3 linked regions of the Drosophila melanogaster genome follow. The protein of the gene in region 2 interacts with the protein of the main gene of each other region in a biochemical or structural test. Each region holds a gene or a part of one and is shown on either strand. Other genes may lie near its edges.

Region 1 (6,458 bases), on a different chromosome or scaffold from region 2:
GCTGGAAATGGGGATTGGCTGGATATGAGGACTGAAACCAGGCGGGGAGGTGTCCTAAATTAGCTGCCAATTAATTAGGACCAAACGCAGATCCATAATGTTATGAACAGTATTATATTTCGCTTGAAGTTTGCGTGTTTTTTGTTTTTGCAGTGGGTGGTGGGTGGGGCTGAGAATGAACCTTGAAGGTGGCGATGGATGGTGCAATTTACATTGTTAACTAAGCTGCGACGGAGAGACCAGTCATGCAACTTCGGAATCTCATGCTCGGCAGTTCTATCTCAGCTCTTTTCCTAACTCATTCGTTTCAATCTCGCTGCAGTTGCAATTGCAGCCACTGAAGGTTGCTAAATTGCATAATTCAGAAACTACCACGTAGGGTTAAAGCCTTCGACAACGCGACAGCTTATAAAAGTTACAGTAATGTTTTTGTAATTGGCTTAAAAACTTGTTAATTAAGAAATTAACAACGTTGCATTACATTATGTTAACATATAGTGTGGGAAATATAGTGAAACATTTCCACTCTTCTGCCTTATAATTCCCAACTAGCCATTTCGTTTGACTTATTAAGGGAAGTAATCCTCTTTTGTTCAGAGGGTTAAACGCCTGGCAGACAGAAACTTGATGGGATGTCCATACCAAACGTATGTTAATAATGCCCAACGACAGAGCCCGCAGGCTCATTAGGTACATATACATATACATATCGATCGGGGATAAGGAGGCGGCATCCGGAGGAGGAGTGCCTCAAGTGGGGCAGTATAACCCACCCATTTTCGGTGTTGTACGTTATGTGATTCGAAAGCTTCGCCTGCCGCATGTTTTCCCCTCTCTGGTTTTGTGTTTCGGTTTTGTTTCGCCGTGGGTTACACAAACATTTCAAGTTGTTCCACAGGGTTTTTTTCAGTTTGCTGTCCGGACAAGTGGACAAAGTGGTGCGCAAGTGGTTGCATGGCCGTTAGAGAGGTGTGGGTTGAACTCTGGGCGGGAATGGGGTCCGCTCCGGCCCCATGGACCACTGCAGCTGTGGCCAACTATCAATTACCTAAATGCAACTGGCGTAATCATTGGAATCTCATGCGGAGCGGCATACGATAATTATATGAAAGTATTCTGGATATAAAGAAGTTTAAAACAGCACCAAGTCTTATTTAATCCTACTATAGTCTAATGTCAGTACTCGTATCAAGTTCAAGTTTTTCTAACATGTATTACCACTATTTCTCTGCCAAATTCGACCGACTAATTGAACTGCAACCTGGGTTCAGTGAACCCTGTAACAATCAAATAAAAATCAAGCCACAAATGGCCACATTAGGCTTAGCTAATATCGCTTTTCCTCAGACAATAAAAGCCGAATGGCCCCAAGCCATGAACGAATCATGATCATTGATCAACCGAAAATCCAAGACCCAAACGCGCACACAATTTAGATGCCTTATATGGCGGATCGCCAAACGGCAGCCTCATAAAAAAAGGTAGGAAAAAAAAGTGGATGAATAAATAAAGGCGACATTTTGCGGCGACTGTTAATATCAGTAGAGATACATAGATATATACACCTATAGCTACTATTGTGGCTATGGGTTTTCATTGAAAAGTCGACTAAAAATGCCAGAGATCCAAGATCATATGGCGCAAAAAATGGACCCAAAAGAGTCGTGTGCTAAGCTTGCGCCAAATCAAGTGACGCAAGAGATAAAGTCAGGGGTATCTATATTTTTTTAGGGGGCTACGGGGGAATTCCTAAACTTGATTTCGCCAGCTGCGCGTGGGCCACCGAAAAAAGATACAAAAACAAACGGAAAAACATAACACTCAAGAGTTCGGAGATATCTGTGATCTCGATTTCGTTCGAAATAGTTGACTTTTTGCCGGTCTCAGCATTGCAAAAGATTTCCATAAATGCGAAAAGTAAAAAAAAACAATATACATATCAGTGATTAACATAAAACTCAGATTTACACGAAAACAGAGTCTGTCTACTTCTTTAATTAAGAATAATCTCTTGAATAACTATTCTCTTGTCTGTTTGCGTTTGATTTATTTAATTCACACAGATCTGCGATCTGGATTTCTGTGGAAATAGTTGCGACAAGATTCAGAAGTAAAATAAATAGCATAAATGTGAAGCAATAAATCAAAGTCTTTCAACTTTGGTAATTTTTTTGAAAAGTTAAATTCTTTAATCTGATCAGCAGATGTCAAGATTTTCCATAAACAAAACTGAATAATATGAAACAATTATTCATGTTCAAGCTTTGGCACATAATCAAGATTATTGCTATTTAATGTTTGATCTGTCATCTGGCTTCCTATATGGTTTTTTTTTTTAATGAAGAACAACTTTTTTGAAATACTCGGTGCAGTTTTGAGAACATTTAAGCCGTTGCAAAAGTTTTCCATAAATGCCAAAATGGTGAAACTATAAATTCAAGGCGTTGAATTAACTTTTGGCTACTCAAAGGCATTAGCATAATGCCCAGATTTGCATGAAAATTAACGCATTTGAATGTTCAATCTGTCAAATGCTATGCGATTTTGGCTGTTTCGTTAATTAAGAATAATTTGTTGAATAACTTTTTGTGCCTGCATTTGACTAATTAAGTTTATGCAAATTGCTCGAGCGTGGGCGAAAGTTTAATGACGCCGGAAAATAGCTGAATACTTTATGAGTTTTTAAGTCGCCGACAAATTGACGATGGATATTGTGTGGAAATAAAAATTGAAACATTAAAGTGAAGCAACTATAAATAAATATACACAGAAGTCATAAAACAAAGGCGGGCCCTTCATCTTGTTGTGTTCTACCCCAAACTCCCCTTATTGTATCTTTTGGAGCTCCCTCTTCCAGTGCACTGGAAAAAGCGTTAGATATGGTTTATCTATAAAGATATTGTATGAAAATTTTATTCTCTACCACACACTATACGTTAATTTTAATACAAGACCTTTAAATTGAGATAAGCATCAGATACCACATTTTTTCTCAGTGTATTGGGGACTGACATGAAGCGCAACTGTTTCTGCGAGACAAAGGAGCAGAGAGAGAAGAAGACGACGAAGGAAGTGGAAGCGGGAGTGGAGAATAAGGAGCACAACAGAGGGAAGTCGTTGAAATTAAATACGGTTTGTAACCAGAAATTCCGCAACTAAAAATAAACAAATGAGAAAAAGAAGCGCAGAGCACGCGACGCACAAAAGAGGGTGAAATTGTACCCGCGAAGAGCTGAGTTTAACAACAATATAATGTTCTTGGCCTCGCCAGCGATTTTTTATTGAGGAAATAGTGCAAATAGAATTGTGATTTCTGCATATTTGCATAAATTGCGGCCACTCGCAGAATTGCAAAACAAAGAACGGCGATAAATAAGGCCAAAACAACGATAGCGAAATTATCAGAAGAAACCCACACATGCAAACAGAACCTAAGACAACAAGAGAAAAACAAAAGTCACTTGCTTTCGTTTTGTTTTGTTTTGTTATGTTATGGTTTTTTATCACCCAGTCTCCATCTCGCTCTCGCTCCCCCTCTCTCCCGCTTCTCTTACTCATTCCCACCCGATCGGAGTTGCATTTTGCGATCAACGGTTCTTTGGTTGGGGCATACTTCCTGCTCGCTCGCACCTACGCGAAAAGGCTCTGCGAAACCAGTTATTAAAAGCCATAAAAAGGAGAACCGTTTAACTGTTTAAGTGTCCCATGTTGGTTTTTTCGCCAGGTGTCTGAAACTTCGCCAGCTGTTGGCCGAAACTATTTTCGTATTTTCGTGTTTCGCTCGCAATTCTGCAATTTGCAATTGTTTTTTCGGGGGTTTTTTGCTGTCCTGCTTCTGCGCAGAGGGTGCAAGCAGGACGACAGGACTCGAACTCACACACACCCCTAAAAATGCCGCTACTCCAAATGCAATTTCATTGTTTTACCGTTGTATTTGCACTAAAATCGGAACCTGAATTTAATGGCGATTTCGTTTCAAAATATTTGCGTACACCCGGAATTGTGTGGCACCCACACCCCCAATTTACACTTCGTATTTCGTTCAACTCCGGCGCAGCTTCGTTTTGCTCTCTATATACAGCTTCATTGCGTTTTTTTTTATTAAATTTCTTTGCGCAAAAGGAGTGGCGTTGTCCAGGATTTTTTCACACATACACATGGACCTTATACACATATAGTCGGCGTCTTTTTATTTTCATTCGCACTGTTTTGTACTTTTTTCCGGCACATTAGCTTTTCGCCAAACTCCATTTAACACTCCTTTGCTGGGATTTACCTTTAAAAAGCTTTTTGTTTAGCCCTTTCGGTATACACAAATCCTTTTTTTTAAATACTCGCGACCCGGAATACTCGAATATATCCTATTTCGAAGGACGTTAATTGTACGATGAAAAAAATCACTCGATCATCATATGAACTCAGTACCCGCGGCAATTTATACTTATTGTTGATATTTTTGCAGCGGTTAAACTCGCGACGAAAACGCGTCCGTTTAGCTTGAATTTCGGGCCGATTTTGGTTTTGCTTTGTTTTTTTAGAGCTGGTACGATAGGAGACGACTATTCGATACTATCGGTGAATTGTTTTGGCGCTATGGGTTTTTAATTCTCGATTCAAGTGCGGTCTCACTGATAACTTGCTAATAATATTCGATTTATTCACTTATATTCGAGCAATCAGCGCTACATTTCAAAAAGTTTGTGTTCTAAACTGGCATTGCTTTGGCCATTTTACGAAATTCAAATTTATTTTTCCTTAGGAAACGCACAACGCTTGAAAATGCAGCTCAATATTTAATATTTAAAGAGCTTAAGTTTTTAAGAAAATTATAGTAAATCTGTATTATTCACTTTAGGTCATTTGTAAGGTAATGTAAAAACTAGCAAAGACTCAAACCAGTAGAAAGCTCTCTACATTCATGTTAAATATTGAAATATTCGTTTGGTGACCGAATTTTAAAATACCTTTTGTATTAAAATAACTTCTTAATAATAAATACCAACCGGCAAATAAAATGCGGATCTTTTGTTGTATTTTTTTTTTTTAATTTTGAGATTATATATATATAATAATTAGATTTACATTCATTTCTGTACCATTTTACTTGTTTTATTTTAGAAATAAAGTAAGCATTTATTACTAATTCTTTTATTTTTTTTTTTTGTTGCTTTAGACGTGCATGTTGGTGCACTTATCTTTCCATTTTGCTTGGATGAACATTACTAAATACGGGGGCGTACAATCAGTTTATAACACAAAAACAAACAATATTTTAAATATACTTCTTCATGAGACTTTTTCGTGTGGAAGAGAAGGGAGTGGGGCGAAATCACGCAAACAACATAAAATAAGGCAGAATTAGTGTTTCATTGGGGACATTGGAGTGTGTGCCAGTTGGGGACAAGATTCTTCTATATGCACTCGATATAGAGATATTGCAACGTGACCACTTTTGATATTGAAGCTAGTGAAAACACAAAGAAATGCACACAGTACAAAAAGCGGAGATGGTTATCAATTTTAACATGCTACGATTTATAGAATTTTGGTTTAATTTCCCTCCTCGATTCGTTCATCCGTTATTTTTGCTTTTGTTTTCATCATTCTCTTGGCTCTGTATAAAAGTTCAGTAAAAAATGCAGCTTAACTAGGTTCTCGTTTTGTAATTCCCTCCAATTTCGTTATTAAGGTAGCTCTCCTCGCAAACGACGTGGTGCGTTTCTATACTTCCATTGGATTTCCTCAATTGTTGCAAGCTTGCTTGGGTTTTGTGTTGCTTTCGGCTTTATTTTACATTAATCAATTATTTACTTGTTTATCACTTAGTTTTTACAATGGCGTTTTATGTGGGTTTTGTTTGCTTTGCTTTGCTTCGCTTCGCTTCGATTTCCATTTGCATTTGCATTTGCATAAAATGTATAAATTTCCTCTGCTCTCTCTCCACTAACACGTATTTATCAGAAACGCACAAATAAATTCTATTTGATAATATCAAGAACAAAAACTAACTGCATATATTTTCTTCTATATTTTCTGCTGTGCGCAGAAAATTCGATATACTTGTATGTTTTGTGGGCTTATGCTGCGTTGCTAACTTTCAACTTAAGTTTAACTTGTAAGCGAAATCATACACAATCGTGAAACGACATTTGAAATGAATCTGAATCTGAATCGTGTGTGCTGGGTGTTTGTTCAGTTATGTAACGTTAATATACATACATCGAAAGGATGGAGGATACGAATTGCTTTAATTGCGGTTTTTTTTCTGACCAGATCTGACAAAAAACCTCGACGAGTGAGCTTGAAATGTTCGTTTCTAAATATTAAGTAGATTATTTTATACACATATATATATATATATATATATGTATATATATATATATAGACTCGCGTTGATCGAGTTTTCTTAGCACATTTACTAATTGAAACGTTGTCGTGGTGAATTTCATAAGCACAAG
Region 2 (7,854 bases):
TTTCGTTTTCAGGTGTAATCGCATGTGTTCGTATGTGTGCGTGTTCGTGAGGCTGTGGGCTGTGTTGGTGTGAGAATCGTTGTTAACTGAAAAGCTCTCAACTGAAAAGTTTAAGTGGAACTTAAAAACAGGAAAACGCGCCGCTGACTGCACTTTCCTTTATTGACTTTCTCCCACCCCTACTGTTATTATTACTTTCTTCTGATTTGTATCTTCATCTTCTTAAACACTTTGCTGTCTTCATTTTTTTTTTCTCTCTTTGACCGTCCTGAAGCACCTTCACACACCTTCCTGCCGAGAGGCCATTGGCATTCCTACTTGAACTTGAACCTGCGAGCGGTGCGTGGAGCACCTTTTATGGAAGCTAATCGCTGGGGGTATCCTATGAGCCTACGAAGGGGGTTGGTAGGTTGTCGATTGGTTGGTTCATTGGTTGGTTCAGTTGGTTGGTAAAAAAAAACGACACGGCACGACACGTAGTAGGGCATAGATGTGCTGTTGATACATACATAACATACCCCTGACGGGGGGAGCCCCGTCGACTTGCAGCCGCAGATTGGAGGCTCTGCGCGAGAAGCGGATCGTGTGCCAGTTGTTGTCGTTGAGCACCGACTGGCCGGCCAGCAAGTTCTGGAAGGGATTATCACACACTCAGAAAGCTGTCCCAATGCCCTCGAAAATCATATTTAATTTTGCATTGACCTTGGGCTTACAATACAGACATAACTAAAATAAAATACTATTTACCCAAGGCTGAAAGTTAAAGGTGATTTTCTGGAGCGAAGGACAAATGTTGCCACGTTGAGCACCTCCCACGGAAAGACTTACCTTCTCACGATCGCTCAACCGCACACTGGCCCGCACCCTTCCCGCCACCAGAGCGATCTCCAGACGATCCGGCGAGTTGGACTCCGCGCTGGTCAACAGCAGGAGTCCTGCCGGACGCGAGGTCTTGAAGCGGATGACCAGCTCCTCGGTCTGCGTCTTGGTGCCTTGTCCATTGCCCAGCCAGATGGTCATGTGCTGGCTGCCGTTGAAGGCCAGCGTGGCGAGTTCCCGTCCACAGGTGGGTCCTCCGTACAGCGTGGCCGAGCAGTCGCAAATAGGTCGATTCCAGCCCTCCAGGCAGGTGCCTCCGTTCAGGCAGGGATTGCCGTTGCAAACGTTGGCCTGCACATGGCATGATGGCTTCACGGAGGCTGTGTGCCCAAGTGGGTTACAAGTATCGGGTTACGCGCTATCAGTGGATGACCATCGCTGGCGTGACTACTCACCCGAATCCTGGACACGTGCAAATGCCGCTATATCGATCGCCTTGCCACTCAGCACCAGGTCACGCAAACAGCCTACGAATCCCTGGCGCAGCGTGGCCGTCCAAATGGCCGCCGGCCAGGACACGCTATTGTAGGCGGGACCCACTCCGCCCAGGTACATGTGCCCGTCCAGCTCGAGGATGGTGCCGTCACCGGGCGTCCGGAAGTCGTTCCACACCCCATCCACGCTCACCTTGGCGTCGCGTCCATTCCGCCGAAGAATCAGGTCATGCCAGTCGCCATCGTCCACGCGACGTCGCGAGGCTCGCACCTTGGAGGCTCCGGATCCGAGGTCCAAATGGATGTAGATGTGCCCATTCAGCAGCTCAATGGCAATCAAAACGGGCTGATGGATTCAAATTATGCAAAATGGCTCAAGATAACCTAATGAGTAGACTCACGTTTTTGGCCCGTGGTTGCTTGGATCCTGTGGCCAGGACAATGATGCCATTCGGTTCTTTGGTGCGAAATTTGAAGCTTATAGAACTCTGCTTGCCAGTTTCCCAGGGAGGAAGGACCTTTAAAATAACAATCAAATATTAATTCATTACTTTTCGTATTTTCATACAGGTTTCAACTTACCAAATGCGATTCGCGAGTGGTGAAGGTCACGGGATCCTGTGGATCGCCACTGGGGCACTGATATTCCAGATTGCCAGCAACCTGGATCAGCTTGGAACCGCTCTTGGCCAGGTCTATGAGGTTCAGATTAAGCGTATCCGCTGAGAACTCCACCTTGCGCAGGCAGCCCACGAAGTTAGTGTGCACACGGGCACCCAAAAGCGCTCGAGGATTAACAGCACCACCAACGTAAACCCGCGAGGAGGAGAGCATGGTGAACTTGCCAGCAATGTGGGAGTGATCCGTATAGACATCATCCACCACGGTAACCAGCTACAGGGATAAAAAAAACTCCATTTCGAATAAAGAACCAAGAAAATCTATGAACAGTTACCCACCCGACAGAAGCTGGTTATGGAGGAGATCTCCTGAATGCGACGGTGCACGGTGACTTTGTGCCACTGGTGGTCGTCGAAGCGCACCTTTGAGGGCTTTATGTGCATCTCCTGCTTGCCATTAGCCAGACCCATGGTCAGGGAGACGCCTCCATCACGCAGCGCCAGATTTAGATAGTCCGTGCCGTGGCCAGTGTAGAAAAGCAGACCGTTCGGCTGGCGGGTGCGAAAATAGAAGGATATGGCATCCTGGGCGCTCACTATCGGCTCGGCGCCCGTCTGGCCCAAGTCGTAGGAGAGGAACTGTGTACCGCGGAACGTTGCTTCCGATGGCGCCTTCTCCTTCTCACAATACTGGCCATCGTACTCGAGGTTTCGACACTCGCAAATTGGACCGGAATCAGTGGATATGCAGATGCCGCCGTGCTGGCAAGGATCATTCCGTTCACAGGCATCGGTTGTGTTGCCACCCCGAACACCCTGCAGGATTAAAGGATTATTTACCAAATCAGGGATACATATAAATAGAGGCTTTTTTCTTATTATCAATATCATTTAAATAGAATATAAAAAGTTGTATTGTGTATATCAATGACTAATGGACTCACCCTGAGCGGCCTTTCACGGGCGGGCAGCTCTCCGTGATCGCAGGGCACATCGCCGCACTTGATGTCGCGCTGCTGCTTGATCTCCTGGCGCCTGGTGGAGCCGCCCGGCTGGTCCGCGTAGACCAGATTGCGGATGGCGCCACGGAAACGCGGTTCGAAGATAACGGATGGCAGGGCGAGCAGGGCCAGCTTGCTGCTGTACCAGTTGGGCATACCGCCCACATAGACGTCCGAGTTGCTCGCGAACTTGCCGAACTGGAACTCCTTCCCCTTGGTCGATCGCTGCTGGGAGACGCCGTCCACGATGAGCGATGTCTGCTCATCGTTCCGCAGGACCTGCACCTTGTGCCAGTGGCCGTCGTGCAGTTCCCGACCCACGGTGATGATTTGAGCTCCGCCACCAAGGTTATATCTCAGCCGCAGTGCTCCTTCCACCAGCTTCAGTTCGAAGAAGTCGTAGGTGCCGCCGTCGTCGGTGTAGAGAACCAATCCGTTGGGCTGTTCCGTTTTGAACTCCAGTTCGAGGGTCCCATTCAGTCCGGTGTACCACTTGCGGAAGGTGTAGAAGGAGTTTTGCGATCCATCTAGCTGGAATCCGGCGCTGAGCGTCACGAAACTGGCCGCCAGACTGACCAGCAGGGCGCTGACGATGAGCACGCGGTAGGAGCGACGGTATTCCACGACCACGGGAGGCACTTGCTCGCTTCTCCGCCGGCGGCGAGCCTTGTTGAACCGCAAGTCGGGGGATTCAAAGGCGGAGGTGGAGGTGCGCTGGGCGGGCAGGAGCCTCAGCTCCGCCTGATTTCGATTTCGCTGCTGATCCATGTCCATGCTTGGCCGTGTCCTGGCTGTCATGGCCGCATCAGCATAGTTATCCTGATATGTTGCACTATGTGGCGCCTTCATTCACACGCACGGTGGCACTCGGGCTTACCCACACAGAGGCACCTACGCACGTTGCGCGCGTAAACGTAAAGTGTCCTTCTCCCTCTCTCTCTCTCTCACTCGCTGTGTTTCTGTCGCGTATTCCAGTCCTTGAGCGCGAGCTTTTCGCGTGTCCTTGTGTTGGTGTTACTCGGCAATCCGTTTTATCCGCGCCTGCCAAGAGAGAGCGTAAGAGCGCGCGAGAGCGAAAGCTCGGCCACGCGAAGTTGGCTGCGGATGTTAACGGTACACGTCGACTGTTAACGGCACTGCACCGATTATTGCTTATGATTTCGCCTGATTTTTTTGGTCCTTAATGTTCAGCACCTTCAGTTTTCGGCATTTTGTATACTTGATTTGCATAATTTTTGGCAATTAAATTCAAAACGGCGCATATTTTGCATCGATACTTTGTCAGACAACCGTTTCTCCGACCGAGTCGGCTGTATTAGTAATACTGGGGGTTATGGTTGGGCCAAAAGCTCGCCGGATACCCCTGCCACCGCAGTTTGTGGCGCCCACGAGCGCTCCATCGTACATGTACATACTAAAAATCGGAAAAAATTTTCACTGCATATCGCAAATGTAGGCGAAAATTTTTCTAAGCACCTCACAGCAAGTGCCCCTAAAATGGGCGCTTTACTGCGGTTGATTCCACAGCAATCAGTTATTTATGCGTATTGATTGAACTATTGATTGGATACGAAATTAGTTGCAGAGACTGCACACAGATTTTTCAATTACACAATTATTCCTTTGAATTTGCACGATATTCTTGTCGCTCCTGCTTTATGTAACTTTTCGGGCTGGATTTTAGCGCGACGCGTCCTTTTCGTTTTTGTTGGTTGGTTGAATTTATTTTTGCAGATTTTTCGGTTCAATTTCGAGGGATACAAAAATGTTGTGTGTCGAAATTTGCTTAGCAGCGCCTTCCGCTGCTTTTAGCTCCGATATCGATCCGCGCTGCATCCACGACAAGACTGAACTGCAATTTCAAACTTAATTTCTTCGCACTGTTTCCAATGGATAACGAAAGCTCCGCCAGCTTATTCACAAAAAGCCACTGGTGCGGTCTAGGCGACTCGAAAATGGCACTACAATCGAACTGGACAAAGGAGTTTGTACCTCACACTACTGATTTTACATTTAGACAAGTTAAAATCGTTCAGAATTACTGGAAATCTTGAATTTAATGGTTTATATTGGTACTTTGTTGATTTACCCGAAAAAGTGTGCTACGGAAAAGGAAAGCACCGCACGCTTTGAGTGTAGTGTGTGGGAATGCCAAAAATTAAAAGCTCGCTTACTTCGCACGAGGCATGCATATGTGTACTACTAACACACAAACGCACACATAGACACCAGCTGCCCACTCACACATGCGTAATAAGCGAATAGCACGCAGGTTCATAACCTGCACCACTAAAGCGTATTAGATGCCACATTCACATGGATACACACATATGCATGTTCAGCTGTGTGCGTGGGTGTCCTGTGGCCGCACGCACACTCACACACACCAACTCAAGCTGACACCCCCCCGGGCTCACTATCTCCGAGACGACCCGTGTAAATTCCTTGACATTTACTACGCAACTTCGACATCTCGGAGTCGAATTCGATTTGCATTTGCATTGGCAGTGGAATGTGATGTCCCTTACTCTCGATTGTGGGTGTATGTCCTGCCTCTGTCAAATCCCATCACCCTGCTCCTTCGTCCTAGGAGAGCAATTGCAAGGCCGTCGCCTCCATTAATCGTCGTCGCAGTCCAGGCGAACACATTAATTTGAGCACACGAATCACGCACTGACCATTACAGCAGGGACCAGGATCCTGCTATTAAGCACTTACGGTTTTTAATAATATTTTAACGCACGCTAAAGGCTAAACAAATGCCAGCACGTGCTGTCCATTGTCCTTCGGAGTCGTGACGTTCAAGTGGACTAACAAGGACTAAGATTGGGAATGCCAAAAGCTGGGGGAAGAGCGAAAAGCTTAAAATCAAACTGAGCGGCAGCTCTTGAACTTTCAAGGGCTTTTAAACTACCATTATTTTAAAATCTGTGGAGAGTTCGGCATTGTCAAGTAATATTCTTCAAAATGAATGGAAAAATCTTTTAAATTTCAGGAACATTCTTAAAAATGCAAGTGCATCACCCAATGCCTAAATATCAATATGAAAATATTTTTCAAATTATTAAAAAATTAACGATTCTTTTAAAATTAGTTTTTTGGTATATTTACTTTTGATTTAACGGTATATGGCATCATCGCACCTACAGCCACACTAATTCGATCGTTTACTTACAGCTGTTCTTATCAATCAGCTGTTATCAACGGATCTTTATCAAGTGCACTTTACAAGGCGTCGTGTGTAAAGATTAGAATTTGCCAAATATTCCTCTCTGGACATCTGAAGAGCCCTTGAGAAGCAGCTAAGTTTGTTGCCATACTCCAAAATCCCCGTTAGATCCCGCTTACGTAATGCTGGGCAATCTGTGCCGGCTTGTGGGTGCCCGTTCCCCGATCACCAGGCGCTTGCTGCACACGGAGCGGAAAGTTCGTGTGAATGGCTCAGATTTGAACATTGTGGAGAGCGGCAGTGGGGAGCGGAGTCTACTCCTGATGCCGGGAGCACTGGGTTCCTCGTGGACCGACTTTAGGCCCCAGATCGAGCAGCTGCCGAAACTGCTGCCGGGTCACACCATCATCGCCTGGGATCCGCCGGGTTATGGCAAATCAGTGCCGCCGCAGCGCAAGTTCGGCCTTGAATTCTTTCGGGAGGATGCCCAGGCAGCCGTGGATTTGATGCGTGCCCTGGACAGACCACGCTTCTCCATTTTGGGCTGGAGCGATGGGGGCATCACGGCGCTCATAGTCGCAGGTCGCCATGCGGAAGCTGTGGATCGCCTAGCAATCTGGGGAGCAGGTGCCTACTTGAACGCTGACGAAGTCAAGGCTCTTAAGAACATTCGGGATGTGGCCAAGTGGTCGCCGCGCATGCGTGAGCCCATGGAAAAGGTTTACGGCGTCGAAAGATTCCCCCAATTGTGGGCCGAATGGGTGGACGCCGCATGCGCCTTCTATGACCAACGGGATGGAGACTTCTGTCGCACCGAAGTTGAGAAAATAAAGATACCTACTTTTATACTCCACGGAAAGAAGGATCCCATGATAGCAGCGGAGCACATTCCTTGGCTGAGGGAGCGTTTGCCTCATGCGGAATATTATGAGTTCCCCGAGGGGAAGCATAATATCCATTTACGTTATGCGGAGGAGTTTAACAAACTGGTGGCCGATTTCTTTAACAAAAATAACTAGATTAACCAATATATTTAAGCTTTCATGGATCCAAACTCATTACTTGTTTAACAATGGTAACTTGAAGTTGGATGGATATTCGTTATATGTGAAAGCAGTTATCAGAAATGAGCATGCAGGTGTTCAAAGTTCGAATTTTAAAAGGAAACTGATAGTTTTGATGAATCAAATTCATATCTAAGTTAAAGAATATTGTTATCTATTCAATGAATCATTTCGAAATAAATTGAAAAATAACCATATCTCCTAACTTAGCGAAAGGGAAATAAATGATTAATTATAAACATTTCTTTCTCTCGCTTTTATAAACTTAACTTCAAAGAAAGATATCAAAGCCTCGGGCAAGTTTAAATTAATTCCGGAAATGTTATCAAAAGTAATTCTTATAAAAATATACTTCAGCTGCTTATGGAAATCGCATAGCAAAAGACCCGCCCACAAGCATGTATGAGATAACTTTTATGAGAACTAGTACATATTTAATATTTATTATTTCACAGAGAGCTGATCAGTTGGTGGCCAGATTACTGGACCGTCTCGATGAGGGTCTTCACGTAGTCATCGTATTGGGCCTGGAAGAAGTTGCCGGCCACGGGACCGCCGAAGCTGTACTTCTGGATGTAGTCGCGGGCCTTGACGTTGATGCGGCCAGTGCGGCTGGTCTTGGACACGAACTTCTCGGTGGTGATCTTGTCGTTCTGCTTGAACACCAGGAAGACGTAGCGGTGCAGG
Region 3 (6,304 bases), 9.3 Mb from region 2:
ATGTAACTATATTCCACTTTTTAATCAAAAGAAAAAAATGCCTATATTAATGCTAATATTAAAGTTTTAAACATTAATTACATCTAACCAAGGACACATTTCTTGCATTGAGGGCTTTTTAGCGAATGTGGGCCACTTCTGGTTCTGGTACATCCTTGGCAAAATGCGCGCTCATTCCCATAGCTGTATATTTATGGTAATGAAGCGGACCAGCCTGGCCTTTGGGCTAATTGTGTTGGCCCAGTTTTCGTTAGGAAGCTGAACTTGCTTTTTGCTAGGCCCTTGTGAGGAACATTTTCCTTCGGATCCTGTTGAGGACTGGAATGGCTTATACCAAAATAATAAAGGCATGGTTAATTCCTTTCTAATATCTTCCTGTAAAGTGAACAAAGTAACAGTCCTTTGCCCTCAATAGTAAACTTATGTTTTTTATTAAAAATGGTGTCTGTTTTGTTTTAGTAGAATGGAAAAGAGATAGGGACACAAAAAATTGTAGGAACACTTATATATATCATTCATACTAAAACAGGAGCCAATAACAATCAACACACAAGGGCTTAACATTGAGTGGCCCCTATGCCATCCTCAGTCAGATTATTCATCATCATCATCAGGATGATCACTGTCATCGACATTAAAGGAAACCAGTAAAGCCTTGGATGGCACATTGCCACAACTCCAGATTTTTTTCCAGAAAGCAGCTTGCCTTCCTCGAACGCCTCCTCCGTTGCTCCCGCCGTAGTAATTGCAATGAAAAATGTTACAATCGTGCACAGGACATTCAAATGTACAAAGAAGAATGTGGAGCTATGTCCTCACGAACATGTCAGGGGGTCCAGCTGCGTCACTGACAACTGATTTCCTTGCCAGTTTTCAACGCTAGTTCCAGTGATGTCAATGACTATCCTTACGGACGATAAAAGTCTTAAAATTGTACTCCGAAATTTCGAAAAAGAGGAAATATAGGAAATACATTGAACGAGCAATACTGGAATTAACATATATGTTAGTGGATAGAACCAGATATTTTGCTCACAGAGCTTAAACAGCATCACTTCCGGGTGTACTAGGTATGGAACGGAAAAATGTCTATTCATAATTCCTTTCTAGGAAGCGGGGAGCTGCATGAGCTGGAACATGTATATACAAGATACTTTGTGTCACAGTCGCAGTAGCGACAGAGAACAGCCGTCACGAGGAAAGATGTTGCCTGGGTGTTCACCAACAGCAGCAGCTACACCCATTACCACATCGAGAACAACTTTACCAGTCGCCAGTCGCCGGGAATGTTGTCTAGGCACGCATAAAATGTATTATAATGACATCACAAATTGAGCTCGCTATGTGTGTCCATAAATGAGTGACAAAGCTTGCCCGCACTCCATTCCAGCGGCAAAAATAGCAAATAATTTATCAAATAGCAAAAAACGGAGACTTTCCGCAGCAAGCAAGTACATCAGAATCCAAATATTACGAAATTGTCATAAATAGTGAAAACCGAATTTAATAAGATATCGATATGAATTTTAAACTTTAAAATTATTTTTACTTGAGGCAGTGCTACAATGACGACAGGCAGATTTATCGATTTCCCTCTTTGGGCTCAGTTGTAACCCCATCATGGCATTATTTGGTTTGGTATGGTTATTGCTGCGTTGAAGTTTATCCACAACGCCACATCCCCATGAGTCCCTTTTCCACACTTTGACTGGTTAGTAGCACCCGACAAAGGAATATACATCGAAAGAAGAAACACAGACCCACCACTGGGGACCGTCGGACCCTAACCCGCAAACCCACCATCCCACCCACACCCACTGGGCTTTGCCGCACGCTCATGCGACTGCACACCCACTGAGGCAAAAAAAGGATACTCTTTCTTTTAGAAGTTATATTTATCGGCTCAGCTTATAATTGTAACGCGAAAAGGCCCCACAACTGACTCGCAGCTCTTGACAACCGATATTACGATCATTTACTTTTCAGATCGGATCCCATTATCTGCATGGTAAAACCCCAATTTTCAGTGCAGTCGCTTCGCGCCATGTGGTCCTTTCTGCCGGTGCTCAGCTGACTCACCTGACGACTGTGCAACATGCCACCAGCAACCCGCAACTAGAAACTCGCAACTCCGAATTTGGAGCTCCCAACTCGCCATTTGGACGACGGATAGAAGTCGCATTAAAATGCCAAAAATATGCTCGAAACCATAAAAACTAGCAAAGTTGCGGGGAAACTGTGAATTTATCTAATTAGTGAGGGCAGAATCAAAAAGATGGAATTATGGCTGCACAGAATGGAAGTCGCCATCCACATGTTGTATTACAGCTCGGCTTATACCACACACATAAGGACCAAACAAAATAATATGCAATTTTAAAAATAACTTTCTGTTTAAAGATTTTCTATATGTGAACAATACTGCCTTAAAATAAGTTAATAAATAACAACGTAAATTAATACAACAAAAAGTACCAAGCGATTTTAATGGTCTCTATGGAAATCCATTTTTGGCTACCGTAAGAGGCTTGCTATCATTTTTTTTATACAAGGGGCTTTAGTTCTAACATAAAATTAAGATAGTTGTGCGGCTCAGCTTTTTTAAATTATTTGTATGGTATGGGGCTCCACACAAAGTTCTCTGTTTGCTGGTAAATTGGAGCAAAGCTTTTAGCTTGGGGGTAGTTTGGCGGACTGAAGGGGCGATTCGGGGTGTAAAAAGTTATGGGGGCTTTGAGCATAAAAAGCGTCCAAACAAGATTTTTGATTGTTAATGTCGCGGTAAATGTTTTGCTTTCTGTTCCTCTCACCTAGTCGTATATATCCTAGATCTTCATCTCTTGTGTGTAATAGAGGAGATCTTGAAATAATTTGCTGCTGGAATAGACACCGCTTATATTACATTTGCTCGAATTGATTTGACGATATGCCATGTTTTCTTACGATTAAATTGGAACCTCCACCTCCAATGACTACAATGAATGATGATAGCCTATCAGAAGACGTTTCCTTTTCTTTCAAAAGGTTTTTAGTAAAAGGCAAAATAACGCTAACCAACAAAGCATTAGAAGTTCTGGAAACAGGATTTGTTTTAACAGAAAATTGCGCATAATCACACTTGCCACAAATGATCGCTTATTCGAGTTGTGGGAGCCTTATCAAGCACAGCCGAATTTGATAGCGACAAGGTCATTTCCTATGATGGACTTTTCACCCTTCAAATAGTTTTTTAATTAACTAAATGCATAGCCGCCAGTGAGTTTCCTGGATAGGTCCCTTTGTTGAAAACTCACCTGCACTGTGGAACTGCGTTTCTCCTGACGTCCTAATGCTTGACGTTTTGCGTCTAATCCGTGCCAACGGCTACTGCCCAAGTTATGAAAACGTGAGATCACAAATTGCAAGGGACAACTGGGGTCGGGTTGAAGAGGGGCGGAGGTATGGGAGTGGGCTAGTTGCAGTCACCGGTCGTAAATGTGTGCCGCGTTGTGAAAAGGATGCACTTGCTCTCTATGGTAGCTCTCTCTTGCTCTCTCTTTTTCTCTAAAAATGTCTATCTCTTTCGCTCGCTAGCGTTACCTTTTATTTCGGCTTTGATTGGTTTTAATTTCCGCTGAAGCTGCTTTTACTTCCGGGGCAGTAAGAATGCGAATGCAAAATGCAATTGGCTAGGTGCAGGTTTTTGTTGTTAGAGACTTATCGCTGATTCGGTGGTCAATGGCTTGGGATTTTGAGAAGCAGTACATCCTTGCAGCCTCTCTTTGCTCCTTTCTGCACCGTCTTTCGTTGCCTTTCGTTTCGTTTCACACTTTCGTCGCATTCACGGCATCCCATGCAACTTTTTTGCTGCGGCATTTTTTGCGTAACTTGTGAGATAATTTCAACATGTTTTTGGTTCCCGGAAAAGGTGCAATTTATTTTTTGGCCTTTTCATTGATCTGTGCGCGAGAGTGCTTGCGGGCGCGGTGTGTGGGCTCGCGGCAGGCGGGTGTGAGAGTGTGTGGGTGGTGCGGGGAACCCGTAGCGGAATGCGTCCGTGTGGCAGCGCGAAGCTTTCGCAACTATGCGAATTTCCTGAGTAGGAATTTCAGTATAATAAAATATCCTGTTCCTCTTCTAAGTCGAGAAAGAGAGCAAGAGAGCGCTAGTTATTCTGCGCGTGCGCCACGAATTGGAGCACTTTAATGCTGGTGGCGATAACACGGACATGGACACATCACCAATACTCGCGCACGTACACCCACCACCGCGGTGGAACTCCTTCCCTCTCACTCACTCCAAAACTTCCTACGTTTTTTTCACTGTGCTGCGCCGCTTGTCCTTTTGCTTTTCTCCGATGTTAAACGACACTTTCGGTTGTTTTTCAAGCTTTCTTATCTTTTCGGACCATGGGCCGCGCCTTTTATTGCGTTTTTACGAAGCAATTGTGCCTGCATTCGGTGGAAAAACTACAAAATATTATTTGATCGGAGGAAACGAAACACTCGCAGCAAGCGACGAGAGCGAAATGCAGCGTGCAAGAGCGAGACTGCACCACAGTCAGCTTTTACCGTTGCACGCAGCGTTGATGACAAGGGAAAGAAATAAGGACGCATGCGCGAAAAATTTCTGTTGGTCGCTTGAAGAACAGTATATACCAAATATTGGTTTCGGTTTCAATAAAGAGAAATTAAATGGTAAATGTGTAACAAAAGGAAAAATTTTTAAATATTTAGATTACTGTTGAGTAATAGTTGGCAGCTATTTTACACACATAGATGGCGTGACGGTTACTTTTTACAGAACTCTGTTACGTTTGGAAAAACTCTAGAATCTGTGAGATCATACATTTTGGTATTTAAACTATTTTAGCAACTGGTAACACTATTCGACACCGGTGCCATCAATTTGGGTCAATTTAAAAGGAACTATGTTTTTGCATAACACAAAGTTTTGCAGACTGGCAAGTGAGTATACGAGTGGATACAGTTCCCACGACATTCCTACATATTCCCCAACAGGTGGTCTGGCAGGAGGAGTGCGCAACCTGAGCGGCCAAAAACCGAAGACCGCGATCCTAATGCTGAACATGGGCGGTCCGACCCACACGGACCAGGTGCATGACTACCTCCTGCGTATTATGACCGACCGGGACATGATCCAGCTGCCGGTGCAGAGCCGTCTTGGTCCGTGGATCGCCCAGCGCAGGACGCCCGAGGTACAGAAGAAGTACAAGGAGATCGGCGGTGGTTCACCGATTCTTAAGTGGACCGAGCTGCAGGGCCAGCTCATGTGCGAGCAGTTGGACAGAATCTCCCCGGAGACAGCACCTCACAAGCACTACGTCGGTTTCCGCTACGTGAATCCCCTCACTGAGAACACGCTGGCCGAGATCGAAAAGTGAGTGTAGTCGAGAAGTAGAACAAGAGTGATGTAAATAATCCGAAGGTCGTGAAATTGACCTATATATATTGCTACGGACTCTCACAATAAGATATGTTCTAGTAAATAAGTTTGTATAGACTTCTGACTTCTTATGCATGTTTCAATGTCCTGCTATTATCAGTTGACTTCTTGGACAAATTACTGAAACCTAAACCTGGAAATTATGGTCATTTGCGCTACTTAAAGAATACATGTTAATATTTTAACATATTTACAGGGACAAACCAGAGCGCGTTGTACTCTTTTCACAATATCCACAGTACAGCTGCGCCACCTCCGGATCCAGCTTTAACTCCATATTTACTCATTATCGGAGCAAGTGAGTTAGAAATGCACAATTGCAGCTATTTATTTGATCCCCTCTACCTCTTTAGTAATCTGCCCTCGGATATCAAATGGAGCATTATCGACAGGTGGGGCACTCATCCACTTCTAATCAAAACGTTTGCCCAGCGAATTCGCGACGAGCTGGCCAAATTTGTGGAAACGAAACGAAATGATGTGGTCATCCTCTTCACTGCCCACTCCCTTCCCCTTAAGGCTGTGAACCGGGGTGACGCGTATCCCTCGGAGATTGGTGCTAGCGTACACATGGTGATGCAGGAACTTGGTCAGACGAATCCCTACAGCCTGGCATGGCAATCCAAGGTGGGCCCGCTACCCTGGCTGGCGCCCGCAACTGATGATGCCATTAAGGTGTAACTTTAATGCCGGATTTCCATTCCCATCCACTAAAACCAATCCCATCTTTACAGGGCTATGTTAAGCAAGGCCTGAAGAACTTCATCCTTGTGCCCATTGCCTTCGTGAACGAGCACATCGAGACGCTGCATGAGCTCGACATCGAGTACTGCGACGAACTGGCCAAGGAGGTAGGCGT

The links. The genes of interacting proteins can lie anywhere in the genome.
Region 1: the proteins of Nrx-1 (region 2) and Spn are reported together in a solved structure, tested with the Drosophila melanogaster proteins (one study listed by BioGRID).
Region 3: the proteins of Nrx-1 (region 2) and RhoGAP100F form a complex in vitro, tested with the Drosophila melanogaster proteins (one study listed by BioGRID).

Annotation. Positions count from the first base shown.
Region 1 is NT_037436.4:2,549,782-2,556,239, forward strand, and holds the start of Spn (spinophilin), read right to left. Parts: upstream 4,512-6,458; 5' UTR 4,277-4,511; intron 1-4,276.
Region 2 is NT_033777.3:22,466,414-22,474,267, reverse strand, and holds the start of Nrx-1 (neurexin 1), read right to left. Parts: upstream 4,791-7,854; 5' UTR 3,784-4,790; coding exon 2,878-3,783; intron 2,750-2,877; coding exon 2,273-2,749; intron 2,208-2,272; coding exon 1,896-2,207; intron 1,832-1,895; coding exon 1,715-1,831; intron 1,660-1,714; coding exon 1,275-1,659; intron 1,200-1,274; coding exon 829-1,199; intron 631-828; coding exon 510-630; intron 1-509. Other genes in the region: CG5377 (uncharacterized protein), read left to right, coding at 6,286-7,122; Pebp1 (Phosphatidylethanolamine-binding protein 1), read right to left, coding at 7,647-7,854. UniProt on the Drosophila melanogaster protein: Neuronal cell adhesion protein involved in synapse formation, development of synaptic active zones, synaptic regulation and visual function. Plays a role in cell adhesion between the pre- and the postsynaptic cell.
Region 3 is NT_033777.3:31,810,816-31,817,119, reverse strand, and holds the start of RhoGAP100F (Rho GTPase activating protein at 100F), read right to left. Parts: upstream 4,512-6,304; 5' UTR 3,294-4,511; intron 1-3,293. Other genes in the region: FeCH (ferrochelatase), read left to right, coding at 4,910-4,946, 5,001-5,379, 5,642-5,743, 5,799-6,120, 6,180-6,304. UniProt on the Drosophila melanogaster protein: GTPase activator for the Rho-type GTPases by converting them to an inactive GDP-bound state. Promotes the anchoring of Liprin-alpha clusters at synapses. Recruits and keeps Nrx-1 levels high in active zones in the presynapse opposite the postsynaptic region.